Lonchura striata: one gene and its partners. The protein of the gene in region 3 interacts with the protein of the main gene of each other region in a pairwise test. Links are inferred from orthologs where the notes say so. Each region holds a gene or a part of one and is shown on either strand. Other genes may lie near its edges.

Region 1 (9,849 bases), on a different chromosome or scaffold from region 3:
GGCTGGGCATCCAGCAGCGGGTGCTGAGCAATGTATTCTACATCACTTGTTTCTCCTGCACTTCATTCCTTTCTCTCTCCTTTTCATTACAATTATAGTAACTTAGTACTACTATATTTTATTTTGTTTCAATTATTAAATTGTTCTTATCTAAACTCATAGGATTTAATTTTTTCACCAATTCTCCTCCCCACTCAGTGGGGGATTGGAGTGGACAAGCTGCTCTACTTAGCTGCCATCTGGGGTCAAATGATGGCAACAACTTCAAACTCAAAGTAATATATGAAATTGCCCTATGCAACAGCCATTACCATTCTTCTGTATGACCTGTAAACCAGACAACTTAAACCTGCCACAGCCTGAGACCCACCAGTCCTTCAATGTCTTTATGCCTTTGAGTAAAACATTAGGCTAAGATCCCAAATATGAACATCTCAGACACCTACCAAATATCCATCACTAAAGCCAGGCTCCTGAGAACTGAAGTATGTTGCTTTGGACATCTCAGGCAACAGACTGTTCAAAGCAACTTTTTACAATACAGTAAAATAGGTGAGGCAAGGAAAGAAGTGCACAAGGGAAATTTGTGTAAACCAGCAGCCTGAAAACAGGCAAGACCACTCAAAAATCTTCAATTAAGGAAAAAGAAGACAGTGATAGTACGAAATGTCAATAAGAAAATAAGAATAACCTTGCACAGAAAACAAAGGAAGACAGATATGGCAACTGCAGGCTGCTGAGCTACTCCTCAGACATCTGCAACTGAGGTATTGTGAAATTTGGCCTAATCTCTCAGTTATTAAAGCACTTAAGCTAAATATGACCTCAGTTTAACAGCAGATTGCATCAGCATTTTGAACCTTTTCTGAGATATAAGAATAAAAACATTTGGCATGAAAACACATTATTTAACTTTAATGAGACTTGCTTTTAATACCTTTATATGGACAGTCCAACACTTGGGGCTCACCTCACTGCCAGTGGAAAGACTGCATGGTCACAATTCTTCAGAACTACTTAGAACCATCTGTTTAAAAGTTAAAATGGACATAGATACTTCCTTCCAGACTGTAAGAGATTGTGCTGTAGATATAAATGAGAATGAATAGGTAAAATCAGTGTATGCGTGTATATGTATGTACAATTCTGTGAGCCTGTGCACTGCAGCAGAAACCAAGGAGGAAAAAAAGCATCTGGCTGAATCAGAGCTGCCAGCATGGAAGATCAAACCACTGTCAGCTCTCTACAGGGTGGCAGCAGCATGCTGTCGGGGCAGTAGTCAGAATGGGAGTGAGACTTTTCTTTTAAACAAAAAAGCAACATCCTTGCAGCTTTCCAGAAGAGAAACAGTATGACCAGCTAAAGGCTTACACCTACACTTGTGTCTATTCTCTCCAGGCCTGATGAAATACAGGCCAGCAGAATACATGACACAAATTAGTTGTGTTGCATTTTTCAGTGACAGCAACTTTTATTGTCTTTACAATACAAGATAATACAAAATATTAAGAAGTAATTTTGTTCGGTGAAATAATTAGTAGATTGAAAATATAAATGCATCTTCAGATTAAATAAGATTACAAGCAAATAATTTGCCATCAGATCAAAGAAGTATAAAGGCCAACAGCTCTAGAACCATGCTCCTGGCAGCTAATGTTTCCTAAGTAAAGGATTTAATTCTTTTGAACAGGAATCCTACTCCTTCCCCTAAGTGTGTGGGATTGCAAGTATGTATCAGTTATATACTTGTAAAGGGTTGGAGGGGAGGGAGTAGCCAGAAACTAATGACAAGTCCTGTCCCAACATTCCTTCTCCACTTATGTAGGAATCTGTACTGTGTTAGAAGGCCTTTTTACTGAGCTTTCCCATTATCACCAGGATTGAACATAAACAGTTTTATGTTGTGGTTAAAACCCTCATAATTTCAGATAATAGCCCAATTTTACAATTTTGAGCTTTTATACACATGCAGTTTTTCTCTCCCAGTAAGTTAAGATGTAACTGCATCAGTTGCCTTTTATCATTTGAATCATTCCTTTATAAGCAGTTTCAGGTAAGACATAATGTCAATTGCAGATGACCAAACCAGAACAGAACACTGTACAGGACTGAGACTTTGGGCCAGTTGAGAAATCCTTTTCTCCAAGGTATATCCCTGCCTGGGCATAGCAATATCATTCTTCTTCAAAAACATTACTGGACATAAGTCATTCCCACCATCACCTATATATATAATCTGTGTATAACTCACTCCTCGCTCCAACTGTTTATCTAGAAATTCTTTTAAAACTTTCCTTTTGCAAAGGTTTTTAGGGCACTTTGCACAATGGTGAGCATGGAAATGCTGTACAGTAAGATAGCCAGTACTGCTGAATGTGGCAGGGTTTGTAAACACTTCATCAAACACTTTATGGAAGTCAGCAGCTTTCAAAATCCAGTCAATAAATACTGTATTAGAATCTGAAACAATTATACAATCAAACAACTCTTTGTTCTCGCCAATAAATCCCAGAAGATCTATCATTCCTGCAGTGAAAGGGATTGTTGTCATAGTTCTTTTCATCTCTTCTTCTTTGACACCATTATCTCCCAAGTAGACAAAGACTCTGCCCATATATTCTGTCCAATGTCCTGGTTGGTAAGAGTTTCTTAATTCATTAGGAAGTTTTCTTTCAGGAGCACATTTCACAATCCAGGTGTCACTATTTTCATCTATGATTGTATGGTCAAAATCAAAAACCAACAGAAATTTCATAGCTGTGAGAAAACAGTTTCCAAAACAAACAAATAAGAAAATTATTTATATAAGCAGAAGTACTATATTCTTACCCTGACCTTGTGCTCAGAAGAGAAAAATTCTGGAGGAAAATACTGGAACAAAATAAACCATTTATGGCCATTACCAAGATGGGAAAGTTGTGCTGTAGCTAAAAATGCAATTTGTAAATGCCAAACTTCAGTGTCCAACTTCTGTTATAAATAGTAACCGTGACAGTATCTAACTCATGCTTACTAATACTTCCTAACGCAGCACCAATGTTCCATATTCACACACCATCAGTTTGAGCAGATACCAATTTCTCCATCAGCACTTGCCAGCGCCAGCAAACCGGGATTCTCGTGGCGGTGTTTCGGAAGGACACGCCCACCGTCGTTCGAGCGGACGGAGCCCGCGCGCTCCACGCGGCCGCGCGCGGTCGCAGCGCCCCGGGAGCCCGGCCCGCCGCGCCCTCACGTGACCGCGGCCGCCGGGCGCCCGGCAACGGCGCGCGGCCCGCCAAGATGGCGGCGGGGCGGCGGCGGCGCGGCGCCCGTGAGTGCGGCTGCGCCGCGGGCAGCGGGACCCGCGGGAGGGCTCCGGGAGGCTGCGGGTGCTCAGCCTGACTCTCCCCAAGGCTCCCCCAGCTGCAGACCGCAGGAGGGGCTGTCTGTCCCTTGGAGCCGAGCGGAGAGAACTGACCTGACGCAGCGCAGGCCCCCGAACCTCCAGGGACAGCAGCTGGGGAAGAACGAGGGGCTTGCCAGAGTCCTGCCTGCAGGGCACGGCCGCATCAGGGCGCCTTTACTTCTGCGGAGGCTGTCTTCACCTAGGACAGAGGGAGAGGATCGGGTTTGACCCCTGTCGGGAAACCGGTCAGCAACGGCATCTGGAGAGCCGACTTTGACACCGGTGTCACTCTAATAGAAAGCCTCCTTACCTTTCAGACGTGGCCTGTCAGTCTGCTGCAAATCACACAATTTCTGCAGAATACCACTCTGTACAGAGTGCCACTTCCTTCAAAAATGGTGGTGACACTTGAAAGTGCATTTTACAAAACCTAGACATCAACTAGAAAAGCTGCATTTATGCCTGCACATATGTATGTGAGCGTAATGCAACAAAGAAATCCTAGTCTTGCTAACAAATCAGAAACTGTTCTACAGCAGAACTATTTCAGTAAATATGATGAGTATGTGCAGGACATGGTAGTAAGGCACAGTCTGTGTCCAAACTGCTGCCTCATCCAGCCAGCAGAATGGCTTTACCAATATTCTCCTCTTCATTTAGGGAGGTCTCTGCCCCCTGCTGTTCTAAGAAGCATGCCCAAGTACTGCCTGGGAAGTGTGTTACTACAAGCCAAACCCACACATACACACAAACAGCCCAGTCAGTCAGTGCCCATCCAAGTACATGCACTGGTCATAGGTAGGCTACAGATACAGATACCCTGTCTTAGCTCTGGGGTTCGGGGATGAGGGACTAAGTAATGCTAAGAATAACCTAGTATTGTTACCATTCCAGCATTCAAATCCTGATGCATGTTTGATTATTGGATTTTCTGGTATCAAGTAACCCTTGTATTTTATCTTCCCTCTCCACAGCACATCATTGGAAAGAAAGGGATGTTCTAGATGAGTATTTCCTTCCAAATGAAGCAGATCTTCATCAGGTCATTATATTGCCAAAAGCAGAATGGGAAAGGATTCAGGGCAGCACTAGAGAAGCAGCACACATCGATGAGAAGAAAGAACAGGATGAAGTGCACTTGGAGTCCAAAGCTGCTGGCGAAGACCCGCGCAGTGCGGCCCTGGTAAGTACATTTGAAAACAAGGGTAGCTGCTTTTGTATATACAAATATACAAAAGATATATAGAATTGTAACATTTCTAGCTATACTTCCTTTGTTCAACATTTTCTTTTGAATAGTTATTTCAGCTAAATGCCATTTAGATACATTTAACATCTAACATAAACATTTATTTTTTACTTAAAGCTGAAATGCAAAGTAAAAAACCAATCCAAAATTTAAGTGTGATTTCTAATTTTGTCTGCACTATAGAACCTGATACAACAGAAACTTCAAGCCAAAAAACTACGTGAAGAAAAGGAAGAGGAAGAAAGAAAGTTAATTGATTTGGAAGAAGCAAAGTTCCAAGCAGCAAAACGGAAGGAGGCTATTGACCGTGCAAAAACCTACCTATCTAATCAGGATGACAGAATGAGACAGTTCCATGTTTGTTGACAGCTTATATTTTTTACATTGGAATTGTACTGAATGTCTCTAAATACTTCTGAATATGAAAATGACTTTAAATGTTCTCTTGCAGAGTGCACTTCTACTTACTAAGGTCCTAAAAGAAAGAGATGCTCAAGTTGAATTTCTTAAGTCAAGATTAGCTGATAACAAAAAGAGGGACTATGAAGAAGAGCAACGTCAATTTAAAGAATACATTATTAGCGAGCAAGAAAAAGCACATCAGCATTATATGAATCAACAGGCACTATGCAAAGATCAGTTACAACAGTAAGTAGTAATTAAAAGCAACCCTACTTCATTATTTATTTAAACTCTTCTCAAAATACACTCCATGAGATTTTTACAGAACTTGCTAATAATTTGTCTCACAAATGCCATACTTTTAAAAGCAGATCACAGAAGATCTTGCCCAAAAGGGAAAAGCTATATGCGTTTTTAGTTGCTAACAGTTTGTATGCAAAATTGCCTCTGGGAAGCATCAGCAGGTTTTAGTCAAATCACTGTTAAAATGTTGTTAATGAAATTTAAGTGTACTTTACTCAGTTTTTGTTCCAGACAAGGAAAAGGTTAAATTAGATTTTCCATTTACCCATAATGAGCTTCCAGACTGCACAACAAGAGAAGGCATTACTGCCACTTCTATTCCTTCTCTCAGATTTTCCATAAATCTTATGGAGGGGTCCCCAGTGGTATTTATAGGACTGGCCCTAATGGTCTGATAGAAAGAATCAAACTTCCCAAGGCAGAGGAAGGGTTCAAATCTGGTCTTACATATTCCAGGTGCAAAACATAGATTCTTACAGAACTTAGTATAGAACATTACCAGTTTGAGCTGCTGCCTGCATGCCCAGAAGAAACACAGGTATGGTGGGTCATATTGGGGAAATCTTGTTCTCCAAGAATGCTGCAGATATAGGCCAGAGCATTACCAATGCAGTGGTGCTAATGAGTCATCCAACTAAAATTTAACACCACAAGACTGCAAACTGTGAGCATACCACGCAGATCATTTCTGACCAGGGTTACCATTACAAACAATCATGCTGTCATTCACCTCTGATATTCTACCTACCTTCAACTCAAAGTATCACATTCTTCAATGCAAGGTACCTATGGTTATGCAGTTCATTACTTCATGTAGTTCCTAGACAATTTATTCACCTTTTTCTGATTCAGAATAAAGGAGCATGAGCATCAGGCAGATCTGGCCAAACAGGAAAAAAAAAGAGAAGAGGAAGAACTACAGAGATCAATTCAACTGTACCAACTAGAAATTCAGAGAAAAAAAGAAAAGGAACACGAGGAAAAACTTGAACGCCGGAAGCTGTATCATGTAAGTAGCAGGAAAGCAGACAGTTCAAAATGCCTATTTTCACCTTGGCTGTGATGGTTGGACTTGGCCCACAAATAAACAGGATTGTGGGTAACAGGGTCTTTGCTGACAGTTTTAGTAGCCTGGTATCAAATGCCTACCCTGCCAATTGCAGGCCATCTGTTTTCTCTGTGCTTTTGAGAAAGACCTCTTGGAGGCCCCTCCTTTCTGTTGTCTGACAGGATGTTGGCATTTAATCCTTTGACTGGTCTCTGGTTAAAGATTTGACTGAAAACATCAAGGAATATCTCCTTGACTTGAGAACTGGATTTAAGTTTCACATTCCTGGTGTTTTAAGCCCATTTTTCTTTGTTCGAAAGAGGGAATAGTGACTGAATGTATGTTTTTGACTAGATATTTATGATTGGAGAGGTTTAGGAATTTAGTCAAGACTTGCTGCCACCTCATTTCATCTTTAAAGGCATCCTACTAAGGTACAAACAAGAAGTGCCTCAGAGCAGTTCTGGCCAGAATGCAAAAGACAGTTGTTTTTTTACATAAAAACCCTGTGTTTTCCTACTGTGTTTTGGATGAAGCTCTTAGACGGGGTAGTTTTGGATGAGGTGGGGTCAGGAGCAGAATGATCTGCGTGTGGGTGGTGGTTGGACCATCCCCCTCGCCTGTTTGTGTGTGGGAGTATGGGACAATGCTCTCTGCATCACACAGCAATTTGTGCAATGCACCAGAGAAGCAGCTGTTTGATGCTCAATTCCTTTTCCCCACCCTCACATCTACTGTCTCCTCTTGATGCATGTTTGAATAGAGAGGCAGAAGTAAGTGGAAGTATCCCTTTTCTGTCTTCTCTCTCCTTTCCTGAGGATCCCTTTTTTCTCTTATGTTTTTAAAAGAAACTTGAGGAGGGGGAACAGGGAGTGATTCCTGTAAGCTGCTACCCCAGGTCCAGATATTCTAAACATCATCTGTTACATCAGGACCATTTTGCCCATACAGGAGTATGTAAATGACCAGAAAATAATCAAAGCAATAGAGGAACAAAACCGAATGGAAGAAGATGATCGGATCAAAGCTCATTTTAAAGCAAAGGAAATTATTGCTCAGATGAGAAAAAAGAAAGAAGCTGAAATGCGTAGGTAGGTACAATGCTAGGGTATAAATTGTGAATAATCTAAAAATGATACTGTAGTTGTTTTCAGATCATTTAGACTAATGATATAACACAATTTACAGTTATTCTAAAACATTATTCAAAATTCTACTGAGAGGGAGAGCAGGGAATTCAGGAGAAAAAGGAATTCTTTTCACAGGCTCCTTACTAAGTGTGAGGGAGCAATCTCTCCACCTTTCAAAGTACAGAGGCTTATGAAAGTGCAAAGCTTTGCACCAGTGTATTTTGAAGAGAGATTTTCCATATGGCCTACCAGATCTCCACCTCCTCAACAATTAAAGACAATTAAGATCCTTGATGAAAATATTGAGTATAACCTATATTTCTCTGAGTCAGCTCAAGAAAAATGATATGACTTCTCAACAAGGCACATACATTAATTAACCACATTGTGTTCTTACAAAGGGGAAAATATTTTATCAGTTTAACATTGCAGGTACTAGATGATGATACCACTGAGTCAATCTAAGAGTTTTCTTCCCTTCCTGCTTCTGGACAATACTTCCAACATTCCCCTCCTGATGGCAAGATGCTCACTGGAATTGTTACCGAGTGATCCAGCTCATTATTGCTGCAGAAACTAGTACTACAAGAACACTGGGAACATTTATTTGCTAAATCAGTTAATATAAAAATAAACCAAACAGGAGGAACAGAAGGAGATCATGAGTTAGGTGGGTGGGCCAGTCTGTGTGGTCAAGAGGAGAGAACTCTAGAGGCAGAATTGCTGAGTTTGGTAGCTTCAGGCAGACCCAGGAGTGTTGCTCTCGTATATTATGGAAGCTCATGTTCTTCTGCAGACAAGTACAGGAACAACAGGACAAAATCAGTAGTCGATTAGCGGAACAAATGGGTGAGGCACTAAAGAAGGAAGATCATCGACTGGCTAGAGATGTGGCAAGAATAGAAGCTGAAGAAGAAAAAAAACGCAAAGAGAGAGAAGCAAAACGAAAGGCTGCCATTGAATCTATTGCTGAACACAGAGCCACTGTGGTAAGAAACTTGGGCTACTTCTGCTTACTCCAGCAGAGGAGCCTGGCCCAGACCACAGGCAGCGACTCTGGTGCCATCAGCAGCAGGCTTCAGCAAGTCTGCTGATGCCTTTCCTGGAGTCCCCTCTCCCTTTCTCCCTTCTGTGTTGGGTGCACCTCTGCCAGGGCTGCTGAAACCCTGGGCTTGGACACTGGCCAGCCACAGCGACCGAGCTCATTGGGGCACTGATTCAGGGCTGCTTCTGCAGAGAGATCCAACTTCCAGCTTAGCAGGCCAGCTCCTTGGTTAACTTTTGTGTGCTTTGTAAACTACAGATGAAGTTGAAAGAGGAAAAGGAGAGACAGGAGAAAGAAGAGGCTGAAAAAGAACGGGATGTGTTAATGGAAAAAGCCCGCATCCACCTGGAAATGGAAAACAACAAAAAACATGGACGGCATGAGGCAAACAGAGAAGTACAGAAAATTCAGCTCCAGCAAATGGTAAATAGAAAGCTGTACCCTGTCAATCCCTTCAGAAAGAAGGTTGCAGCTAAACCAGTACACTAGCTCCTGCTGAGAGAAAGAGAGGAAGTTTGCTGTTTTGTTTGGATTTTATTGTTTCATGGGTTGTTTTTAATCATATGTGTTCAGCATATGCTGGTGTTGGAGACCAGCATTCTCAGAACATTGTCAAGGCTGGTTTGCAAGGACAGATCACATCCTGTCCTGTGCCATTAAGACATTTTTTCAACCATGCACTGCTGTGCTCTTGTATCTTCTGGGCAGGTCACCAGAGAGCAGCAGCTAATGCTGATGTTCACTCAGCTATTTAATGTACCCTTTCTGGGGAAATAAGGCAGGGGACAGAAGTGGAGAGGGATGCTAAGTGCCATGTGTCAGCTAAGGATGCCATAGACCTGTAAGCTTTTATCCTCTCTCAGCTTTACAGGATGGTGATGTTGAGAAGAAAATACTAAGTTTTGTTATTCCTTTTTCTTCATCAGGCTGAAAAGCAGGCAAGAAAAGAGCAGGAAAAGCAAGCAGAATTGGACTACAGTGCTCAGAGAGAGGCTATTGCACTTTCTAAAGAGCAAGAGTTTCAGAAATATGCAAGGGAAATAATTGAAACAGAATCCAAGAAGACACATCATCTTTATCCTCTTCTCAAAGCATGGGAAGAAGGAAGAAGACTTGGATGTGGGCCATTTTTCTGAGAGAAGAAGAAATAAGTACTACTTTCCAAATATATAATTCTATGTTGGGGCCCAGTTACCTTACTGTAGCTGTATTGCTGCTCAAAAAACAAAAACATAAAATAATGTTTAAACTGTCCACCAAGGAAAGGCAGAGGCATTTTCAAGT
Region 2 (9,138 bases), on a different chromosome or scaffold from region 3:
CACGATTTGAGGCATTAGCAACGTCTGCCTCAAAAATTCTTTAAAAGTTAGGGCCTAATATATCAATATCAGCAAAAAAAGAAAAGAGAGAAAACTGCAGAGCTCTGTGAGGGGAAGGAACTGTGTTGTGTCCTAGCACTGTAATGATTAAAATGCAGGTCGGAGACAAGGATGCTGTCACCTTCCATGATGGGCTCACGTGTGTGCCAGGTGTGACCTTACCCTGCCATGCCAGCCCTGCTTGGCCTCCTGCTGCTGGGCTGATCCCTCCTGCTGTTCCTCTTGCTCTCTCAAGCTGTGCTCTGTCCCCTGCACAGGGAATTCAGGTGAGATGGGGCAGCCTCAGCAGCCAGGTGTGTATTGGGGAGCTCAGCCTACCTGTGCCTGCAGCTCCCTCCTGCGGGCTCTCTGCTGTTCCTCCTCCTGCTCCTTCTCCCTGCGAGTCCCTTCCTTGGCCTCCTCGAGTTCTTTGATCAGCTGCTCTCGATATTTAATGGATTCTTCTTGGGCCCTTCTGTTTAACTCCATCTTCTCTTGGATCTGGCGCTGCCTGCCTGCAAGGACCTGTGCAAAGGGAGGAGATGGAGGGAGAAGATGGTTAAACAGTTCCCAGGAAACACACCAGACAAGGAAAAAAATTCCACCCCACCATGGAATGCTCTAACTCTCCAAAAGGTGGTGGGTTACAAGTGGAATGATGGTTTCATTGAGCCAAGGGGGACACAGCCTCAATAGAGGTCATCACCTCACTCATCAGGCGATCTCTAGCCACCTTCTCTCTTTCCCATTCTTCTTCCCTCTTCTCCCAGATTTTTTTTGCTTCTTCCCTAAAGGAGAGAGGAAGAATTATCTCTGAGGTTAACCCCCGTGTATACTCCACAGGCACAGACAAGCTATCCTATTCTTGAGGAGCACTTGGGTTTCTCCTCAGGTTTGTTCCCTGCCAGTTGATGTGCCCATCCCACTTGTGCCTCTCAGTGACCCCCTAACCTGGAACATTCAGCACACACGGACTCCTCAGGTGAGGTTCAGAGGTGGGCAGACTCACCTGAAGATAGTCTCGAGCTCTGCTTCCCTCTCCTTTTCCAGCTGGAGCTGTTCCTCGATGACCCTCTTCATCCAGGCCACATCTGCCACCGCCCGTCCCCGCCGCGCGATCTGCCAGCTCTGATCCTCCTCTTCTTTCTCCAGGAGGGCTGATAAGATTTGCCTGTCTGTCTCCTGGGGGAGAAAACCACGAGATTAACAACTCTCCATGTGCAGGGCTCCTCTAGGCATTACTGGTGACAGTGACAAGGCTGTGCTCAGCAAGATGCTCCATCTGCTGCTTCCCCGTGAGCTTTGTGCTCCAGCCCTGTGCACAAGCCAGAAGGGGCCTCCTCATCTGTAGGAATCAAGAGGCAGAGGCAAACCACACACAACAGGTTTTTTCACCACACAGCATCTGTGAAGTATAAATTAATCTCTTACCAGCTCCTCCTGTACTTGCTGTGCTCGTCTCCTTAACTGGATGTCACACTGATGCTTCAAGAAGCGACTGAAGGAGGAAAAAAAGTAGAATTTAACAAAAAAAAACAAACCAGAATCACACTGACTCTAAAGCACCATGTCACTGTACAGCTGCACTCGGAGAGGTGCATCTGTGACAATGAGGAACCTGCTACCAGAAACAAAAAGCAGGAACAGCACCAGTGCCTTTGCTCCCTGGCTGCTGTGGGCAAATCCACCAAAACCCAGATATTTACATCTTACCACTGCTACCTAGAATATCTCCTTGTGCCCCAACTACTGCTGTGGGCACAGTAATTCTATCCAAAACAAGCTCCACTTGATGTCCTACCCAAACTCGCTCTTCCTCCGGTGCTCTTCCATTTGTTTCCTTTCTTCTTCCAAATTCTTCAGTTCCCGCTGCTGCTTTAATAAATTCTCTTGTTCTTTTTTCAGCTTTGTTGCCTAAAAAGGAAAACGCAAACACCAAGAGAGAGTACATCAGAGAGCTACAACATCCCAGAGAGCAGGCTTGACCAGAGTTTGTACCCTGTTCTGCTCCTCTGCAGGCAGGGAAAGCCCTCCCTGCAGTGCAAACATGGAGAGAAGAGGTCAGGTCAGCCCTGCTGTATTTCCAAGTGAAGCAACAAATTCCTTTCTCCAATGAGGAGAAAGTCAAGATTACCTTTGTCTCCTGCAGTTTCAGTTCTTCTATCTGCTGAAGCAAGGCCTCTGCTTGCTGCTTCTCCAGCTGAGGCTTCTCTTCGTCTTGTCTTGTTCTTTCCAGCGCTTCCCCTCGTGCCGTTTCGTACTCACTTTCATAACGTTTCTTCTCTTCAAGTTTGGTCACCTCTTCCTTTCCCAAAGAAAAGAAAACAGCATTTCAGGTTAGCCTGACACAAAGAAACAACTTCTGGCTCAGAAAATCCAACAGGCTCCTGCAAGCTGTTAGTGCCCTTCCTGGCATCAGCTCCCATGGCACAAGTGTCACCCCTCCACCCACACACACATTTCAGAGTCTTCTCAGTGACCAGAACACCAGGGTTGCCCCCATACCTGGTTTTGTTGTGTTAGCTGATCACTCCAAGCCTCCCTCACGTGCTTCCTGTGCAGCTCAGACTCTGCCTGGAGACACAACAGATGCAGCAGGGTCATCAGTGCCAGAGGTTCTGTCCCCCAAGGTCTTCCAGACTCTCTGGCCCTGAAATCCTAAGAGGATCTGCCTCTGCAGAGGTGGGCTCATCTGAGTGTCTGAGGTGCCCACCAGGTCTTGAGCTGAGGTCATTGTCACAGTGACAGTGATACAGGACTGCAATGTTGCAGCAGCACGTGGGTGGAATAAAGAATGAGGAAGCACCACAGCACGGCAGGTACAGCTGAGATATTAAGGTTTATATTTTTATATTATTTATATATTATGTGCCTGAGATATTTACTTGTGAGCTCTGAAAATTTGCTCAGAGTCTGAACAGATTTCTGACTTTTAAAAATACAGCTTTGAGAGGGCTCCTTAAAACTATTTCAACCCTTCAACCCTTTCACTTCTTTGCCTTTTGTTTATCAGAATTCAGGGCAGTTGCTGTGATGCAAGATGAGTGACCACAGTAGAGATATGATGACTTTCAAGTTAAAAACCGGTTTAATAAATACAAGGCAGCAGGGACTCAAGAGGAAGCAACATCACCTCTCGGAGCTGCGCGTTGTTTTTGTTCCAGCGCTCCTGCAGCGGCGGCTCAGCAAACTGGGAACACAGAGCTGGGTCAGGTCAGGACACGGGAGTGCTCGGCATCCCAAACCTCGCCGAGGCTGAGTTCAGGGCACCATGAGGTGACAGCTCCAGCAAGTTGGAGTTGGTACACTCCAAGTCCCGCTGGTACAGCTGAAGCACGGAACGGCCCCTCACCGGACGAGTCCCGGGATGCGGGACCAGCACGGCCGGGCCGCTCCCTCACCTTCCTCCCGCACTCTCCGAGGCCGTCCCGCAACTCCCGGCTCCGCATCCCGCCCCGCCGCCGCTCCCGCAGCTCCGCCGCCAGCGCCTCCCGCTCCTCGCCCAGCAGCCGCTGCAGCCGCTCCCGCCGCCGCTCCAGCCGCGCCGCCGCCTCCTCCGCGTCCCGCCGCGCCGCCGCCGCGCTGCCGCACACACCGGCGGTCAGCGGCACCCCCGCACCGCCCCGGGGCCCGCCGGACCGCGGCCGTACCTGGGCGGGGGGACGCGGGGCTCGCTCCACCGCGCCTGCAGGGAGCAGCAGGCGGCGGCGCGGGCGAAGGCGCGGCTGGTGCTCTCCCACTGCTGCCGGCTGCGCTCCTGCAGCTCCCGCCGCTCGGCCGCCCTGCGCTCCGGGCCGCGGCCCCACCGCCGCCACAGCGACATCGCAGCGCGCCCGCCCGCGACGGCTCCCGCCGAGGGACACGGCCAGACGGGCTCCGCGAACACGGAGGGAGGCGGGGACCGACGGAGGGAGGCGGGGAGAGAGGGAGGCGAGCCGGGAGGGACGGGGGATGGAGAGGCGGCGGGGTTCGGGTCGCTCCGAGCCGCGCCCCGAGCGCTCGCAGGATGCGCGGATGGAGCCCGGGCCGGGCGCGGTGCCGCCGTGCCGGCTGGGAGCGCGCGGCACCGCGGGGTTTGTGGCGCTGTAAACGTTTCAGGGCTTAAAGGTTCCTGTTTCTGCCCGCCTTGGCACGGCACCAGCGCGGCGCCACCCGCAGCGAGCCCAACCGGACCGGCCGCTGCGTGACCCGGGACAGCCCGGGCACTGCCGGAGGGGCTGCGGGCATCCCGAGATGGCTCAGGGCATCCGGAACGGGCTGGGCACCGCCGGACGGGCTGTGGGCATCCCGAGATGGCTCAGGGCATCCGGAACGGGCTGGGCACCGCCGGAGGGGCTGCGGGCATCCCGGGATGGCTCAGGGCATCCCGGGACAGCCCGGGCACCGCCGGACGGGCTGCGGGCATCCCGAGATGGCTCAGGGCATCCCGGGACAGCCCGGGCACCGCCGGACGGGCTGCGGGCATCCCGAGATGGCTCAGGGCATCCCGGGACAGCCCGGGCACTGCCGGAGGGGCTGCGGGCATCCCGGGATGGCTCGGGGCATCCCGGGACAGCCCGGGCACCGCCGGACGGGCTGCGGGCATCCCGAGATGGCTCGGGGCATCCCGGAACGGGCTGGGCACCGCCGGACGGGCTGCGGGCATCCCGAGATGGCTCAGGGCATCCCGGGACAGCCCGGGCACCGCCGGAGGGGCTGCGGGCATCCCGGGATGGCTCGGGGCATCCGGAACGGGCTGGGCACCGCCGGACGGGCTGTGGGCATCCCGGGATGGCTCGGGGCATCCCGGAACGGGCTGGGCACCACGGGAGAGGCTCCGTGAGCCCTGGACATCCCAGGACAGGCTCCGAGCACCCTGGGATGGGCTCGGGGCATCTCAGGCACCGCGGAACTGGCTCCTGGCACCCCGGGAGGGGCTTCAAGCATCCCGGGAGGGGGTCCGGGCATCTCTCAGGACGGGCTCCGGGCACCGCGGTAATTCGGCAGCGGGGAGGGAGGCGGCACCAGCCGGCAGCTCCCCGCACCCGCCCTGCCCGCCACCGATCGCTATCGCCCCACGACCTGTTTTTCCAGCATAACCAGTCCAAACACCGCATTTGGGGCCCCATCACCGGCCAGCCCGCTCCGCACGCAGCGGACGGGGCTGAGCCTCCCTCCGCTCCCACCTCTTCTTCACCTCTCCGCGTCCCCCCCCCCCAGCTCGGTGTCATTTTCCCCACCCAACCCCTGGGGCTGAGGTGTGCCGTCACATCCCGCGCGCGTTGAGGTTTGTTTTCCATCTGTTCCCTATCAAATATTTATCTCCCGTGAATAATTAACGCCGGCCCGCCCGGCGCTCGGAACGCGGCCGGGGCAGCGCACGGCCAGACCCCGAGTCTGAGGGGGCGATGAGGGCGTGGCCTCCTATTGGGCAGAAAGTCCCGCCCTTCGCCGCTCCGACCAATGGCTGCGCATCGGCCGTACGGCCGATGCGCAGCCATTGGTCGGAGCGGCGAGGGGCGGAGCCTGGCGTGGGCGCGCTGCCGGGTCGGCCCCCGCTGCCTCAGAGCCCCCTCAGCCGGGGAGCGGTGAGGGGGGGAAAGGAAGGGGGCTACGCTGGTCATGGCGCTGCTGCTGGAACACGAGTTCAAGCCGCTGCCGGCTGATAAGCAGATCGAGACTTTGCCTTTCCTGGAGGCCGTGGCGCACCTGCCTCCGTTCTTCGGTGAGACCGGGGTGGCCGGGGCTGGGAGATGCGGGCTGGCATCAGGCCTGCTGTGGGCTCAGTCGCTCTGGGGTGCATCTTCCCATTTCTGTGTGGTGACCCCCCCCACCACTACCTGATCCAGGGCTCACGCCGGGCTTGGCTGCTCTGCCAGGGCCGCGGTTGCATCACGATGCTGTCAAACCTGCCGAGCAGCCCCGTTGGGAAAAACGTCCTGGTGCAGGAGAGAGGCATCGGCGGGACAGGAGCTGCCATCCCACCCATGGATCCCACGCCGTGTCGGGACACGGGTGGGTGTTCGGCGTGGCCGCCCTCGTGGCACAGTGTGCCCTCCACAATGTCAGCTATTGTGTGGCAGCCCCGGAAGGGCAGGACGTGGGGCTGCCTGCCTGCGGACGGGCAGGATGTTCCAGGACCTTCTGCCAGGGCTGTGTCCAGCAGCCAGGGGGATTGGAGGTCACTGGTGGGGCTGTAATAAGTGGCAGGGCTGTCCCAAGGGCCAACAGCCATGTGTGAAGCTCAGAGATCCTTACTAGTCTCATTGCCGGAGCTGTGGTTAAAGTGAAACCTGTTGGTAAGGGAAGTTTGTTGTCCCCTGTGCCACCAGTGTCTAACTGTCCTCCCTCCCTGTCTCCACAGATTGCCTGGGGACTCCTATCGTCTATTCGCCGGTCAAAGCAGACCTGACTGGAAATATCAAGGTAGGAAGGGACTCAGGAGGGCTCAGAGAGGAGAATCCCTGGGGAGAAACCTGTGGGAGGTGTTTCAAAAGGCTTTTCTTCCCGTGAGGACTTTGGGCTCAGCAGTGGCTCACCCGGTCACAGGTTTATTCCCAGAGCTCCTGCTCAAAGTCCCTGCTCCCGGGTGCCAATCCCCTTTTCTGCCCGCAGAAAATCCGGGCGGTTTATGACTCCAACCCTGCCAAGTTCAAAACGCTGCAGAACATCCTGGAGGTGGAGAAGGAGCTGCACGGCTCGGCCTGGCCCAAGACAGGCGCGACGCTGGCGCTGATGTGGTTGAAAAGGTGACTCACGGCGTCGGGAGCTGCTCCGGCTGTGTCCCGGCATGTGGGGAGCTGGAGAGCTCCAAGTGGAGGCTGCGTGTGCTGGGCTGGTCCCTGTGGGCTGGGCAGCTGGCAGTGGGGTGCTGTGTTTGGCTGTTGGGAACTCCTTCCTCAAATCTGGCTCCCCAAGAATGCAGAACCTCAGAGCATGAGCCCACAAATTGGACAGGTCAGGAGGAGCCTGCAGTGCCTGGAGGATCCATCCACCTGACCCTGCCCAGCTCAGCCCTGGCTTCACCCAGGGCTTCCATCCTGCCCTGGGTGCTCCATCCAGCCCTTCTCTCTCTCTTCCCTGGATGTGCACACAGGGACAGGCACCAGCTCTGTGAGAGGGATGCACTGCTGGGACTCTGGGTTTTTGGGATGCTTGGAAACACCAGGCTGGAAGCTGGGAAGCAGCACCCACTTCCCTGAGCCAAACATCTCTGCTCTTCTCCCCAGGGGTCTGAAATTCATTCTGGTGTTGCTGCAGAGCATCTCTGATGGTGAGAGGGATGAGGAGCATCCCAACCTCATCCGAGTGAACGCCTTGAAGGCTTATGAGATCGCACTGAAGAAATACCACGGCTGGATGCTGCAGAAGCTCTTCACGGTGAGCATTCCCTCCCTCTCCAAGCATCCAACCACCATCCCTAAGGCTGTTCCCGTGCACTGACAAGTGTCTGGAGATACCACAGCGTTGGCACATAGGAGCAACCCAACCTATGGTCTCTGTTGGGTTTGTGGGAGCCAAACACCCTCTCCCTGTTTTACAGGGCTCGGTCTATGCTCTTCCCTACAAATCCGATTTGCTGAAGGCCTTGGAGAAGGGTAAAGAAGTCAAGGAAGAGGAAAGCATAGAAAAAATCCACCAGTTTGTCACGAGGGTCACTCCAATCCTGGATGCAATTTATGAGATGTACACGAAGATGAACGCTGAGCTGAGCTACAAAGCCTAAAGCTGGCACAGGATTGGCACAGATTAAATAACGTGTGATGGGTGTTACCTATGTCTTCATCACTGAGGCAGCTGGGGTGGCTCCCAGCTCTCTGGTGACTTCGATTCCTCTCTGGATCTGCAGTGGATAACGTCTTTTCTAACCAAAAAATAACAGTAATTAACTTTCTATTAAGAATACGGCAATAAAACAATTGTGGGTGTCACCCTTGGATTTCCCAAGAGGAAGAACAAGTGTTTCTAGGCCCAACTCCTGGATTCCTGTCTTCAGTGGAGCAGGGAATGAAGTGTCCTGGTAGTGAGTGAAGTGGCACTCGGCCTGTGCCTGGAACCCGCTGACGGGCACCTCGTGTTGATTGGCACTGGATAGTCCGGAATGATGCCCATGGAGGAGGAGCTGATGACTCTCCCGGGTGATCCCAACTCCTCCAGTGCTGGCATGGGATCAAACCCCTGTGCTGGGATTAACCAGGGACTGTCCCCGCGGTGTTTGCGGTGCCTTATGAGCCCCCCTCGCCTCCCGAGCCCCGGCGGGAGCAGCAATTAATAAAAACTGACAGTACCCGTGGCCTGGGAGCCTCATTTGGGGCTGTGGCAGCCCCAAAGGGTGTTTGGGGAGACTGTTTTAGGGAAGGTGTTTTGGGGCTGGTCCTGGCAGGGCTGTTTTGGGTAGGGAGATTAAGTTTTTATTTCCTAGGAGAGCTGTTTGGAGGAGAATGTTTTGGAGCTGTTCCTGGGAGGCTGTTGTGAAGCTGTGTCCTGGGAAGGCTGTTTATGGGAGGGTTTTTGGAGCTGTTCTTTGGGAGGGCTGTGTCAGAGACGTTTTTCCTGGGGGCTTATTTATTTGAAGGGTATTTTGGGGCTGTTCTTTCTGGGCTGTTTTGTGGCCGGTGCTCCCGGGGACGGGGAGGGGCGGGCGGGGGCCGATCCCGAGGGCGGGTCCCGGTGGCGCCTCCGCCGCTGGAGCCGGGGCCGGGGCGGGGAGGGGCCGCTCTGGGGACCGGCCCCGGGCGACTCGGCGGCGCCGGAGCCTGCGGGACTTTCCACGGGACCTTTGGCGGTACAGAACCGGGGGAGCGGGCAGAGGGGCGGACAACCGGCAGTGGGACGGGACGGGACACGGGCACCGGGGCTGGATGGAGCGGGGACGCGGAAACTGGGGCAGGATGGGGCTCTCCGGGCAGCACACGGGGACCGGGGCAGGATGGAGACCCCAGGTGAGGCTGGGGTCGAGGGCTAAGCTGGGCAGGGCCAGGTGGACCCTTATGGATGGCCCGGCACTGTGCAGACAGCCTGGGGACTCATGATCTGAGATTGAGGTGCCGGGTGGGTTCCCAGGCAGAGCTTTGAGGAGGGGGCTCCCACCGGCTCCGAACCCCCCGTGCTGCCCACACC
Region 3 (9,658 bases):
TAAAAAATAGCAGCAGCCCTGGGTGGAGGGAGAGAAGAAGAAGACAGCAGACAGAGAGGATGTCAGGGCGTGTGTGTGCCTCTGCCTGAGCTGCTGATCAAACAGCCACAGCCTAAGAAAATCTTTTAGACAACAAACAATAAACTGCCTTGAGACCGAACATCAAAAGGCTGCGGAGTTTTTCTTTGGAAGCACGGCTTGGACGAGAAACTTCACCACCACACGAGACCCCAGACCAAGCCTGGGGTTCTCACAGGTTGCAGGCAGGCTGTGCATACCTGCCCCAGGTGTTGAGCTGCTCCGTACCAAACCCAGCCCATCCCAGTACAGGTATAGGAAGGGCTACGAGGCCTCTGACCCCATCAAGATGTGAGACCTACCTTGGGCATGACCTTGTACATCATGTAGACGAGGACAAGCAGCGAGGCCAGCAAGCCAACACTGATCCCAGCTGAGTAGTAGAAGATTTGGCTCCTGCAGTGATCACACAGGGAATCAATCACAGCAGGTGTTTTATGGGTGCCTGTGCACAAACACCCCCACCCAGGAGCCCCCGGGGAAGGGAGGGGGCTCACCTGCTCATTGTGTCCCCACAGAAAAACAACAGCAGGCCCAGGAAGAAAACAAGGAACAGCTTAGGGTCAAAACCTGGCAAAAAAAAAAATAAAACAAAACCAAAAATTAATCCCAGTGGAGAGGGGCACAGTGGGAAGCTCCCACCTGCCACAGGGTCACAAGGATGGGACCTCCAAGTGCCCCAAATTCCTTCTGCAGACCGAATTCCCTTCCTGAGGAAGGAACAGGTCCTTGGATCATGAGCTGCCCTGTCCTGCTGTCCCCTGGGCAGCCCCAGGCCCCCTTCCCGCAGCGGGGAGGGGACGTACGTCGGAAGAGGACGACGGAGTAGGTGGTGCCGGGCTCCAGCAGCTCGACCTTGAGGCAGGTTTTGTTGCTGTAGAGATCCACGTCGATGCTGGTGTCGTTGAGCTTGCCCCGCAGGAAGGAGAAGAGCACGTTCCACAGGCTGAACTTCTCCAGCTCCTCCTCGCTGTCCACCTGGGTGACGCGGATCATCCGGCTGCTGGTGACGCGGATCTGCGGGAAGAGAAGGGGAACAGGGCAGCTCAGCCTGGAGAAAAGGAGACTCAGGGGGGAGCCTGTTGCTGTCGAGGCAGGAGGGGAATGAGAAGACTCTGATTCAGAAGGCTGCTGAGAGTAAAACTCTGATTTATCCAAAATACACTGCTCTTTTATACAGAGCTTCATGAGGATCAAATCCATTGGTCCTGAAGTGAAAACAACCCACAGCATTGGTGCAGAGTGCTTGTCACACAGTGATAGAACTTCACTATAAACAAAGTGGAAAACAGAGAGATAAAGAATTATTTACATTCTCTCCAGCTCTTTCCCAGGTGTCTGCCTGGCTAGAAACTCTCAGTTTCTTTCTTTGACTGAATCTGAGACCCACATGAGCTCACTGCTCTCTGCAGCTTCCTGAAAGGTGGCTGTGCTCAGGTGGGGTCGGGCTCTTTCTCCAGGAATGGACAGAACCAGAGGACACAGTCTCAAGCTGCACCAAGGCAGATATAGGTTGGGTATTAGGAAAAGGTTTTTGACTGAAAGACTTGTATGTGACATTCACATTCTCTGGACAGAGAGACACAACTCTGTCTCTGAAGCACAGAGAGAAGAAAACAACCTTTATACTAAATCCCACATAGAGAAAACAAAAGAACAGAGATAAAGATTGTTTTCTTTTCTCCTCCTGAGAGACAGAGGTCTGCCTCTCTCTGTCCAAAAAATGTGAATGTCACAGTCAAAGCTCTGGAATGTTCTGCCCGGGGTGGTGGTGGAGCCACCACCCCTGGGTGTGTTGAACACAAGCCTGGGTGTGGCACTGGCTGCCGGGCTCTGGTTGAGGTGTTGGGGCTGGGTGGGACTGGATGACCTCGAAGGTCTCTTCCAAGCCAGTGATTCTGTGAATTCTGTGAACGGAGGGGCTGCAGCAGGGACAATCTGCTGCCTCCTCCTGCTGCCCCCACCTGTGTCCTGGTCCAGACGTCGTTCCAGCGCGGGACGCGGGTGTTGGTGTAGCAGAAGCGCCGGGATTCCCCGTGCTGGGACGCGTGGCCCTCCTGCAGCGCCACGATCGCATCCTTGGGGCCTGGCGAGCACGGAGAGAAGGGCTCAGGCCTTGCTGCCCCTGCTTCACCCACCCAACCCCTTCTCTCCACTTTGCCATATTCCCCACGGTATTTCCGCTGTTTTCCTCGGAATTCGCCCTCGCTTCTTTTCTGGGATAACCCCGTGCCCTGTCGGGATCAGCGCATCCCCATCCCCGCGTCCCTTCTGGCCCGACTCCCAGCTCCAAAATCCCACCTCAGCGACACAAACCCGAGGGTGCCTCCGGCACGCACTCGCCCCCCGAGGTGAAGCGGCTCCCGAACGGCATCGAGGCCCGATGGTACCGGGAGATCGGCGCGGCGGGACACCGGGACACGAAAGCCCGGTCCCACCGGGCCGCACCGGCCCCGGGAAGCGCTCAGAGTGTTCCCTGGGGGCGGAAGGTGCCTCTCAGCGGACACCGGGCCGTTCCCCGTGGCCCACGCCGCCGGTCCCATGGTCCCGCCACGCCGCCCCGGGAGCCGCCGCTGCCCCGCTCCCCACTATGACTCCCCCCGGTCCCCGCCCATGGACGCCACTGTCCCGCGCACCTGCAGCTTCCAGGAGCAGGAAGGACAGGAACAACAACAGCAGCAGCACCACCGGCAGTCCCGACAGCCGCTGCCGCCCCGGCGCCGGTTTCATCCCTCCCGCCGCGGCTGCACCGGCCGCTTCCGCTTCCGCCCGGTCCCGCCGCCGAGGAGAGTCCACAGCCAATAGGAGAGGCGCTCGCCGGGCTTTGTCGTCGATTGACAGTTGGTTTAACCTATCAAAATTCAGCTTTGATCTCGCGCCCCTCCCCTCTGTTTCTGCCAGGTTGATTGACAGAGATTTTAACCTATCAGTAGTGAGCATGCAGGAAGCAGCCATGTTCCCGCCCTCGGTTACCACGGTGACCAACCTGCCCGCCATTCACTCAACAGCCACGCCCCACCCTGGTAACGGCTCTGACAGACTCGCCCCTCGACCAATCAGAGCGCAGGCATCACAAGCCACGCCCCCACCCCTCGGGTATCCCGTGTGATTGACAACCGCCTCCGCCTATCAGGGCGCGGCCTCGCGGTGTTGGCGCGAACGGGTCACGCGTGGGGGGCGCGCGGGTCCCGCCCCTCGCCCCCCGCCCCTCCCGCGGCCGCCGAACCCGCGGGCCCGGGGCCCGCCGCTCCCACCGGCCCGGGGCCCGCCGGCCCGCACGGGGCTCTGCCAGCGCGGCCGTGGCACGACGGTCACCGGTGACCCGCGGCGCGGAGGGGGTCCCGCATCCCACGGGTCAAGCGGCGGCTCGGCTCGGGGGCTCCGGTTCGCCCCGCTGCCGGCACCGTCTGTCGCTTCGCGGCGAGGCTCCCCCAGTCCCGGGAAGGGGGTGCCGCTCTCCGCGCGGGTTCCCCCCCGCCCCCCACCGTGGGGCGGTGGCCACCCGTGGGCGGGCAGCGGGGAGCGGGCTCGGGCGGCCCCCCCGCTCCCCCTCCGCGGGCCGTGGGCGGCGGAGCCGGGAAGCGGCGGGGCCGTGGGCGGAGGATGTGCGTCAGCCGGGGGCAGCGCCGGGGCTGGGAACGGCCCCGCCGCGCCGGACGCTTGGTCGTGGAAGGCGGGGGGAGTGACAGGGGGGCTGTGGGGAGGGGGTGAACCGGGAGGGCTTGGGCAGGACCCCCGCCATGGGGACCGTGCCCGTGCGGGATCCCCCGGCAGCACCGGGGATGTGCCCCGGGCACCGGCACGGCCCCCCGGCCAGGATCGCGCGGGGGCGGCTCTGGCCCCACGCCAGGCGCCGGCCGCGGTATAAATAGCGCCGAGGCACGCAGGGCCGGACCGGGGTGCGGGCCGTGACACCCCCCCTCCCGCGGGAGGGACCCCGGTGCTGCCGCCGAGGGGCTTCAGCATCCCCCCAGCCCACCCGAGACACCTCCGTGCGCTCCCGTTCTCGCCGCTCCGGGGAGCCGCTGGCGCGCTCCCCCCGGAGCCCATCGATGGCAGCGTGTGCGTGCCGGTGACACCGAGTGCCAGCCCTCCGCAAGGGCTCCGGCACCGGGGGGCACTGCCGGGACAGCGGTGCCGCTACCCGGAGCATCCCCGCTCCCGGTCGGGTTGCCACCGAAACCGGGGATGCTGCGAGCGCTGCCCGCGGGACCCCCGGGATTCAGGGTGTCCGCGCCGACACCGAGCACTGCGTCCCCATAGCGGGCTTCTGCCTCTCCCACGGGCCCCCCGTGCCACGCGTGTCCTGCCCGGTCCCTGCCGGGGTTGCGGGACCCCCGATGCCGCCGTGCGGGGCGCCGCTCCCGCTCTCCTCCCGCTGCTCCGGTGCCGGGGGGGGGTGGGGAAGAAGGGGGGCCGGTGCTGCCGCCTCCGCCGCTGCCCCCCCCCCGCGCTCGGCGGGGGCGGCAGCCGCGGGATCCGCCCCCGGGGCCTCCCACGCGCGGCGCAGCCGGGGCCGCTGCTATTTCACGGTCCCGCCCGTGTGGGCGGCGCGCAGAGCGGCGCGGCGCGGCGGAGAGAGAGCGCCCGGCCCGGCCGCGGGACCCCCGAGCCCCGGCACCCCTCGGACCCCCGGCTAGAGCCGGCCCCGGAGCCCCCCCGCCCCTCGCCGGCCGCCCGGCGGGGCGGGCGGAGCGGACGGAGGCGGTTCCAGGCGGCGGTGAGCAAGCGGGGGACGGCGGGAGGGGACGGGGCACCGGGGGGCACCGGCCGGGGCGGGAGTCCCGGGGACCGTGGCCGTGGTGGGAGTGGAGGGACCGTAGGGGGACGGAGCGACGAGGGACACCGAGCAGGGCGGGGGGCCCACGGGGTGTTGGCTACGGGGCTCCGGGCGGGTCCGGCGCGCCGGGATGCACGGGGAGAGGATGGGACCGGGGGCACACCGCGGCACCGGAGGGTAGCGGGAGGGGTCGGCGGGCTCGTGGGGGAACGGCGGCCGTGGCAGCACTGAGGAACCGTGGGGACGGCGGGGGGATGGAACGGCGGGGGTCGCCGGGCAGAGCAGAGCCCAGGGAAGGGGTGACCCCGGTGGGTCCGGGAGGAATGGGGGAGGATGGGGCACAGGGTGGGCTCGGGGCTCGGCAGGGCACCAAGCAGCTGCGGGGACGCTGGGGGAGGATGGCCCTGGTGGGACCGGGGTGGGGATGGGGGCACCGAGTGGGGCGGGGTCACCAGGGAGGGATGGCCCTGATGGGATCCAGGGGACCACGGGGGAACAGGGCACGGGCAGGGCAGGGGCTGGGGGATGTTGGCCATAGGATCGGCATTGGCACATCCCCCCGAGGATGGGGGGGCTGGGGGAAGCCCCCAGATGTGTATCCTGCTCCATGTGAGGACCTGGCACGGAGGGGCTGCTGGCTGGGGTGGGGGCAGAGGCTGGGCACAGCCCAGGGTAAGGGGTAGGGGCTGGGATGAGTGACCCCACTCATGTCTGTGTCATACCCAGGACTGTGGCCGCAGGGACCGTCCCAGCCCGGAGCACATGGGTGGGACTGGGCACCCCGTGGGGTTTAGGGACACTGGAACACCCATCCATGGGAATGCTCCCTTTGCCCTGTACCCCCAGGCCCCAGGGTGGGGAGGGGCTTTCTCCTGCATGTCCGTCCATCCCGGTGGTGAGTCCGTCTGTCCTCTGTCCACCACAGGCTCGTCATGGCCCTGCCCCGCACGCTGGGGGAGCTGCAGCTGTACCGGGTGCTGCAACGCGCCAACCTGCTGGGCTACTACGAGACCTTCATCCAGCAAGGGGGGGACGACGTGCAGCAGCTCTGCGAGGCGGGCGAGGAGGAGTTCCTGGAGATCATGGCGCTGGTGGGCATGGCCACCAAGCCCCTCCACGTCCGCCGCCTCCAGAAGGCCCTGCGCGAGTGGGCCTCCAACCCGGGGCTCTTCAGCCAGCCCGTCTCGGCTGTCCCGGTCAGCAGCATCCCGCTCTTCAAGCTCTCCGAGGCCGGCGGGCGCAAGGCGCTCAGCAACGGGCACGCCAGCCCCGGCGAGGCCGCGGGCAAGGGGGGCGGCAGCGCCGGGACGCCCCCAGCCCGCAGCCCCACGGAGCCAGGGGAGAAGCTGTCACCGTCAGCGGCTCCACCGTGGCCGGGAAGGAGCACCCCCGAGTCGGAGGGTGGTGGGGACGAGGAGCCGGGCGGTCCCCCCTTCTCCCCGGGCGGGAGCAGCGGGGAGCAGGCGGTGGGCACGGAGCTGGAGCCGGAGTTGGCACGGACGGTGGTGGAGAGCGTGGAGCGGCTGCTGCAGAGCTGCCCCCGGGGCGGCGAGGCCGAGCTGCGGGCGCTAATGAAGCTCAACAAGAAGCTGGCCAAGGCTGTGGGGCACATCTTCCAGCTGGAGGATGGTGACCGGCAGAAGGAGGAGGAGATCCGCCGGCACAGCGCGATCTACGGCCGCGGCGAGGCCCGGCGCCGCGAGGGCAAGCAGCTCACCCTGCACGAGGTGGGCTCCGTGCTTGAAGTTCCTGAGATGTGCTGGGCTGGGACAGGGACCGGGGTGGCTCTGGGGGTGTGGTGAGTGGGTGGGATTCGAGGTCTCCTCCCACGCCGGTTGCATCCACCAGCCTGGAGCCGGCGGTGCCTTAGCCGAGGGTTGCGTGGGCGCCGCTGTCCCGTGGGCGCTGCCGTCCCTGTCCCCGCTCACGCATCATCTCTGCCCCCAGCTCATCATCAATGAGGCGGCCGCCCAGTTCTGCCTGCGGGACAACTCGCTGCTGCTGCGGCGCGTCGAGCTCTTCTCGCTGTCACGACAGGTGGCACGGGAGAGCACCTACCTGTCCTCGCTCAAGGTCGCCAGGTGAGCCCACACCTGGGAAAACCCCCCCTTGCAGGCCTGGTGGGGCCTGGCTGTCACCCCCTTGCCCCCTGGGACCTGCACCATGATCCAGCACTTCTGGATGGGGCCAGGACCCTACAGCCCCCAGTTCCCTTTTGCCAATGTGGGTGGTTTCTGCCTGACCTCGGAGCGTGGGATGTGGGGAGGATGGGAATGATGGGGATGCCAGGCGTGGGAAGGGATGCCAGGCAGCAAAGGGATGCCGCTGGGGATGCCCTATCTCTTGCCTCCATCCCCAAAGTCCCCTGCCCGCTCTGCCAGGGTTGCTTTTTCCCTTTGCTCTCCAGCTGCCTCCCTCTTTTTCCGCCCCCAATTCCACCCGTGCCAGATCCCCAGCTTCTGGCATTGCCCTGCTTGGCGGTTCCGCTCACAGCGCGGTGCCTTGCTGCGGCCACCCCCACCCCTGACACAGCCCCTTTCCACCCCCAGGGCCCATCCCGAGGACAGCGGCGCCGTCGTGGCCAAGCGGCTCAAGCAGGAGGTGGGTGCAGGTGCAGGGGGAGCGTGTGCAGGTGTGCACACCTGTGAGCGTGGGTGTGACGGCGCAACGTGCCCGGGGCTGCCCATGCCAGCTTGGGGTGACGGCTGTGGGTGTTCTGGGGTGGGTGCTGCGGGGGACCTGCTCACCTGTGTGCTCCTGGCAGGCGGGAGAGCAGAGCCGTCCCGAGCTCCTGGCACTGCCGGTGGGGCTGGAGCCCCCCGGGGCCGGGTACCGAGCCAGCGTGGAGGAGGACACGGGCAGCCTCTCCGGGGAGAGCCTCGACGGCCACTTGCAGGGTGAGTGGGGGTCCTTCCCTTTCCTGGGGGGCTGGTGGTGGTCGTGCCCCGGCTCCTGGCGCTGAGTGTCACCCCTCTCTCGGCAGCGGCGGGGGCCTGTCCCCGGCTGACCCCTCCGCCCGGTGCGGCCCCGGACGTGCCCCTCGGCCTCGCGCCCCACGGGCTCTGGAGCCGCCACATCCTCCAGCAGACGCTGATGGACGAGGGGCTGCGCCTGGCCCGCCTGGTCTCCCACGATCGCGTGGGGCGGCTCAGCCCCTGCCTGCCGGGGAAGCCCCCGGGACCAGGTGAGCCCCCGCGGGGCCGGCGGGGCAGGACGGCACCGCTGCCTTCTCCTGTAGAATCGCCATCCTGACGCCATCTCCGTCTTCTCCCCACAGAATTCGAGGACGGGCTGGCAGAACGGGGTCCGCCGGCCCCCCCAGACCCACCTCGGGGCACCATCAAGGTGGAGCAGGAGACCAGCAGGCAGTGAGGCCCCTGTAGCCCCCCCGCCACCATTAACGAAGCAATAACGTGCTGGGGGGACGGGTGCGGCGGCGCTCCGGGCCGGGGGAGCTTGGTGGGCGGGGGGGGGTCTCATCCACAGCCCCCCCGGCCCCCTCCCGTCCCACACCGACGCTCTGGTTACCTCAGCCGCGGCGGGATGCGACTCCCAGCAGCAGCAATACCTTCATCCCGCCCGGCTCCGCTCCCTCGCCGTCCCCCAGGGCTGGGGAGCCCTCGATGGACTGGAGCTCCCTGTACAGCCCCGTGCTGACCGTCCCCCCCACCCCGGGCCCGTTCCCGCGTGGGGACAGACGCGTCGCACTGTGCGCTCCCACGTCAGCGCTGCCGCCCACGCCGGGCACACGGTCCCGTCCGCCACCCCCCCCACCCGCAGCGCCCACGCACCAGCCGCCAGCCCCCTCCCCGCAGCACGTGCCAGCTCACTGTGCACCCCCCCTGCCCACCCTGCGACCCCCGCCCCAGCACCGCATCGGCTGTAAATACCCCCCACCCACCCTCCTCCCGCAGCCCCCGCACGCGTCCCCCCCGCACCCCGATACCTGCGTGTGCTTCAAGCATGGTCCCTGTGCCGGGGGGTGCCACACGTGCCGTGGGGTGTCACCCCCTCCCAGCACGACGCAGGCGGCGTTTGACGGGCACTGGGGAGGTGCTGTTCCCCCCCCAAAAAAAACCCTCGGGGTTCCTCCTCCTTTTCCCCCCTACAAGCCGTGCCCAGCCCCGGGGTTCTCAACCCCCGCCCCCCCCTCCCCGTTAGGACTGTGTGGTGTCTTTTTAGAGCATTAGCGACTCTTCCTTTGTACCGTGTACAGTAGATTATTTATTTTGTTATTTTGGAATAAAACTTTATTTTATGGCTTATCTTCCTAACCCCTGCTCCAGCCTGGAGGGAGGGGCAGGGGAAACAGCTCAAAACCCCAAAGCAAGCGGGGGTGCAGGGGGGCCGTGTCCCTTTCCATGGGGGTCTCGGTGTCCCCCTCCCACCCCCTCCCGCCGGGGGCACCGGGCTGGCACCTCCGCCCCGGCGCCGTTCGCGCTGCCGCCTCCCGCCCCCGCGGTGACTCATCCCGGCGGCGTGGGCTGGGGGCACCGCGTGCGGCTGCCGGTGCTCCCCACGCAGGACGGGGCCCCTGCGCCTGCACCCCTTCACCCGCGGACCCCCGGCAGCGGCGGGGGCGGGCAGCAATGCACGGAGGGGGGAGGGACGAGGGTTACCCCAAATCCCCCCAACCCCGCTTTTCCCAGCTGGAGTTTCCACTCCTGCAAGGAGTAGTATCGAGTCCATGAACCCAGGCAAGGCTGGGAGAGATTTGGGGGGGGGTCCCCAGTCCGATGCTCACCCCCCCCAGGAGCCCCCTCACGCGTGTCCTGGCCGGATGCTGTCATCCCACCGCGC

What was found.
Region 1: the proteins of NAB2 (region 3) and PHOSPHO2 interact in binary tests that used the Homo sapiens proteins (3 or more experiments, as listed by UniProt). The two-hybrid records come from large-scale screens. The link is inferred for Lonchura striata from reciprocal best matches to the Homo sapiens genes NAB2 and PHOSPHO2.
Region 2: the proteins of NAB2 (region 3) and TCHP interact in binary tests that used the Homo sapiens proteins (3 or more experiments, as listed by UniProt). The two-hybrid records come from large-scale screens. The link is inferred for Lonchura striata from reciprocal best matches to the Homo sapiens genes NAB2 and TCHP.

Annotation. Positions count from the first base shown.
Region 1 is NC_134610.1:19,714,551-19,724,399, reverse strand, and holds the start of PHOSPHO2 (pyridoxal phosphate phosphatase PHOSPHO2), read right to left. Parts: upstream 3,573-9,849; 5' UTR 3,461-3,572; intron 3,314-3,460; coding exon of another isoform or gene 3,283-3,313; exon of another isoform or gene 3,258-3,282; intron 2,758-3,257; 5' UTR 2,756-2,757; coding exon 2,030-2,755; 3' UTR 1-2,029. Other genes in the region: CFAP210 (cilia- and flagella- associated protein 210), read left to right, coding at 3,283-3,313, 4,363-4,571, 4,821-4,994, 5,089-5,285, 6,195-6,351, 7,342-7,481, 8,317-8,509, 8,824-8,988 and 1 more. UniProt on the Homo sapiens protein: Phosphatase that has high activity toward pyridoxal 5'-phosphate (PLP).
Region 2 is NC_134620.1:11,049,767-11,058,904, forward strand, and holds the start of TCHP (trichoplein keratin filament-binding protein), read right to left. Parts: upstream 3,573-9,138; 5' UTR 3,489-3,572; coding exon 3,441-3,488; intron 3,230-3,440; coding exon 3,173-3,229; intron 2,614-3,172; coding exon 2,545-2,613; intron 2,345-2,544; coding exon 2,174-2,344; intron 1,954-2,173; coding exon 1,841-1,953; intron 1,538-1,840; coding exon 1,471-1,537; intron 1,222-1,470; coding exon 1,049-1,221; intron 828-1,048; coding exon 746-827; intron 565-745; coding exon 379-564; intron 310-378; coding exon 223-309; intron 1-222. Other genes in the region: GLTP (glycolipid transfer protein), read left to right, coding at 5,916-6,033, 6,383-6,444, 6,634-6,767, 7,248-7,398, 7,562-7,744. UniProt on the Homo sapiens protein: Tumor suppressor which has the ability to inhibit cell growth and be pro-apoptotic during cell stress. Inhibits cell growth in bladder and prostate cancer cells by a down-regulation of HSPB1 by inhibiting its phosphorylation.
Region 3 is NC_134629.1:5,745,067-5,754,724, forward strand, and holds NAB2 (NGFI-A-binding protein 2), read left to right. Parts: upstream 1-5,731; 5' UTR 5,732-5,790; coding exon 5,791-6,585; intron 6,586-6,805; coding exon 6,806-6,939; intron 6,940-7,407; coding exon 7,408-7,459; intron 7,460-7,622; coding exon 7,623-7,755; intron 7,756-7,841; coding exon 7,842-8,042; intron 8,043-8,135; coding exon 8,136-8,230; downstream 8,231-9,658. Other genes in the region: NEMP1 (nuclear envelope integral membrane protein 1), read right to left, coding at 381-474, 576-648, 885-1,095, 2,043-2,164, 2,715-3,075; STAT6 (signal transducer and activator of transcription 6), read right to left, coding at 9,620-9,658. UniProt on the Homo sapiens protein: Acts as a transcriptional repressor for zinc finger transcription factors EGR1 and EGR2. Isoform 2 lacks repression ability.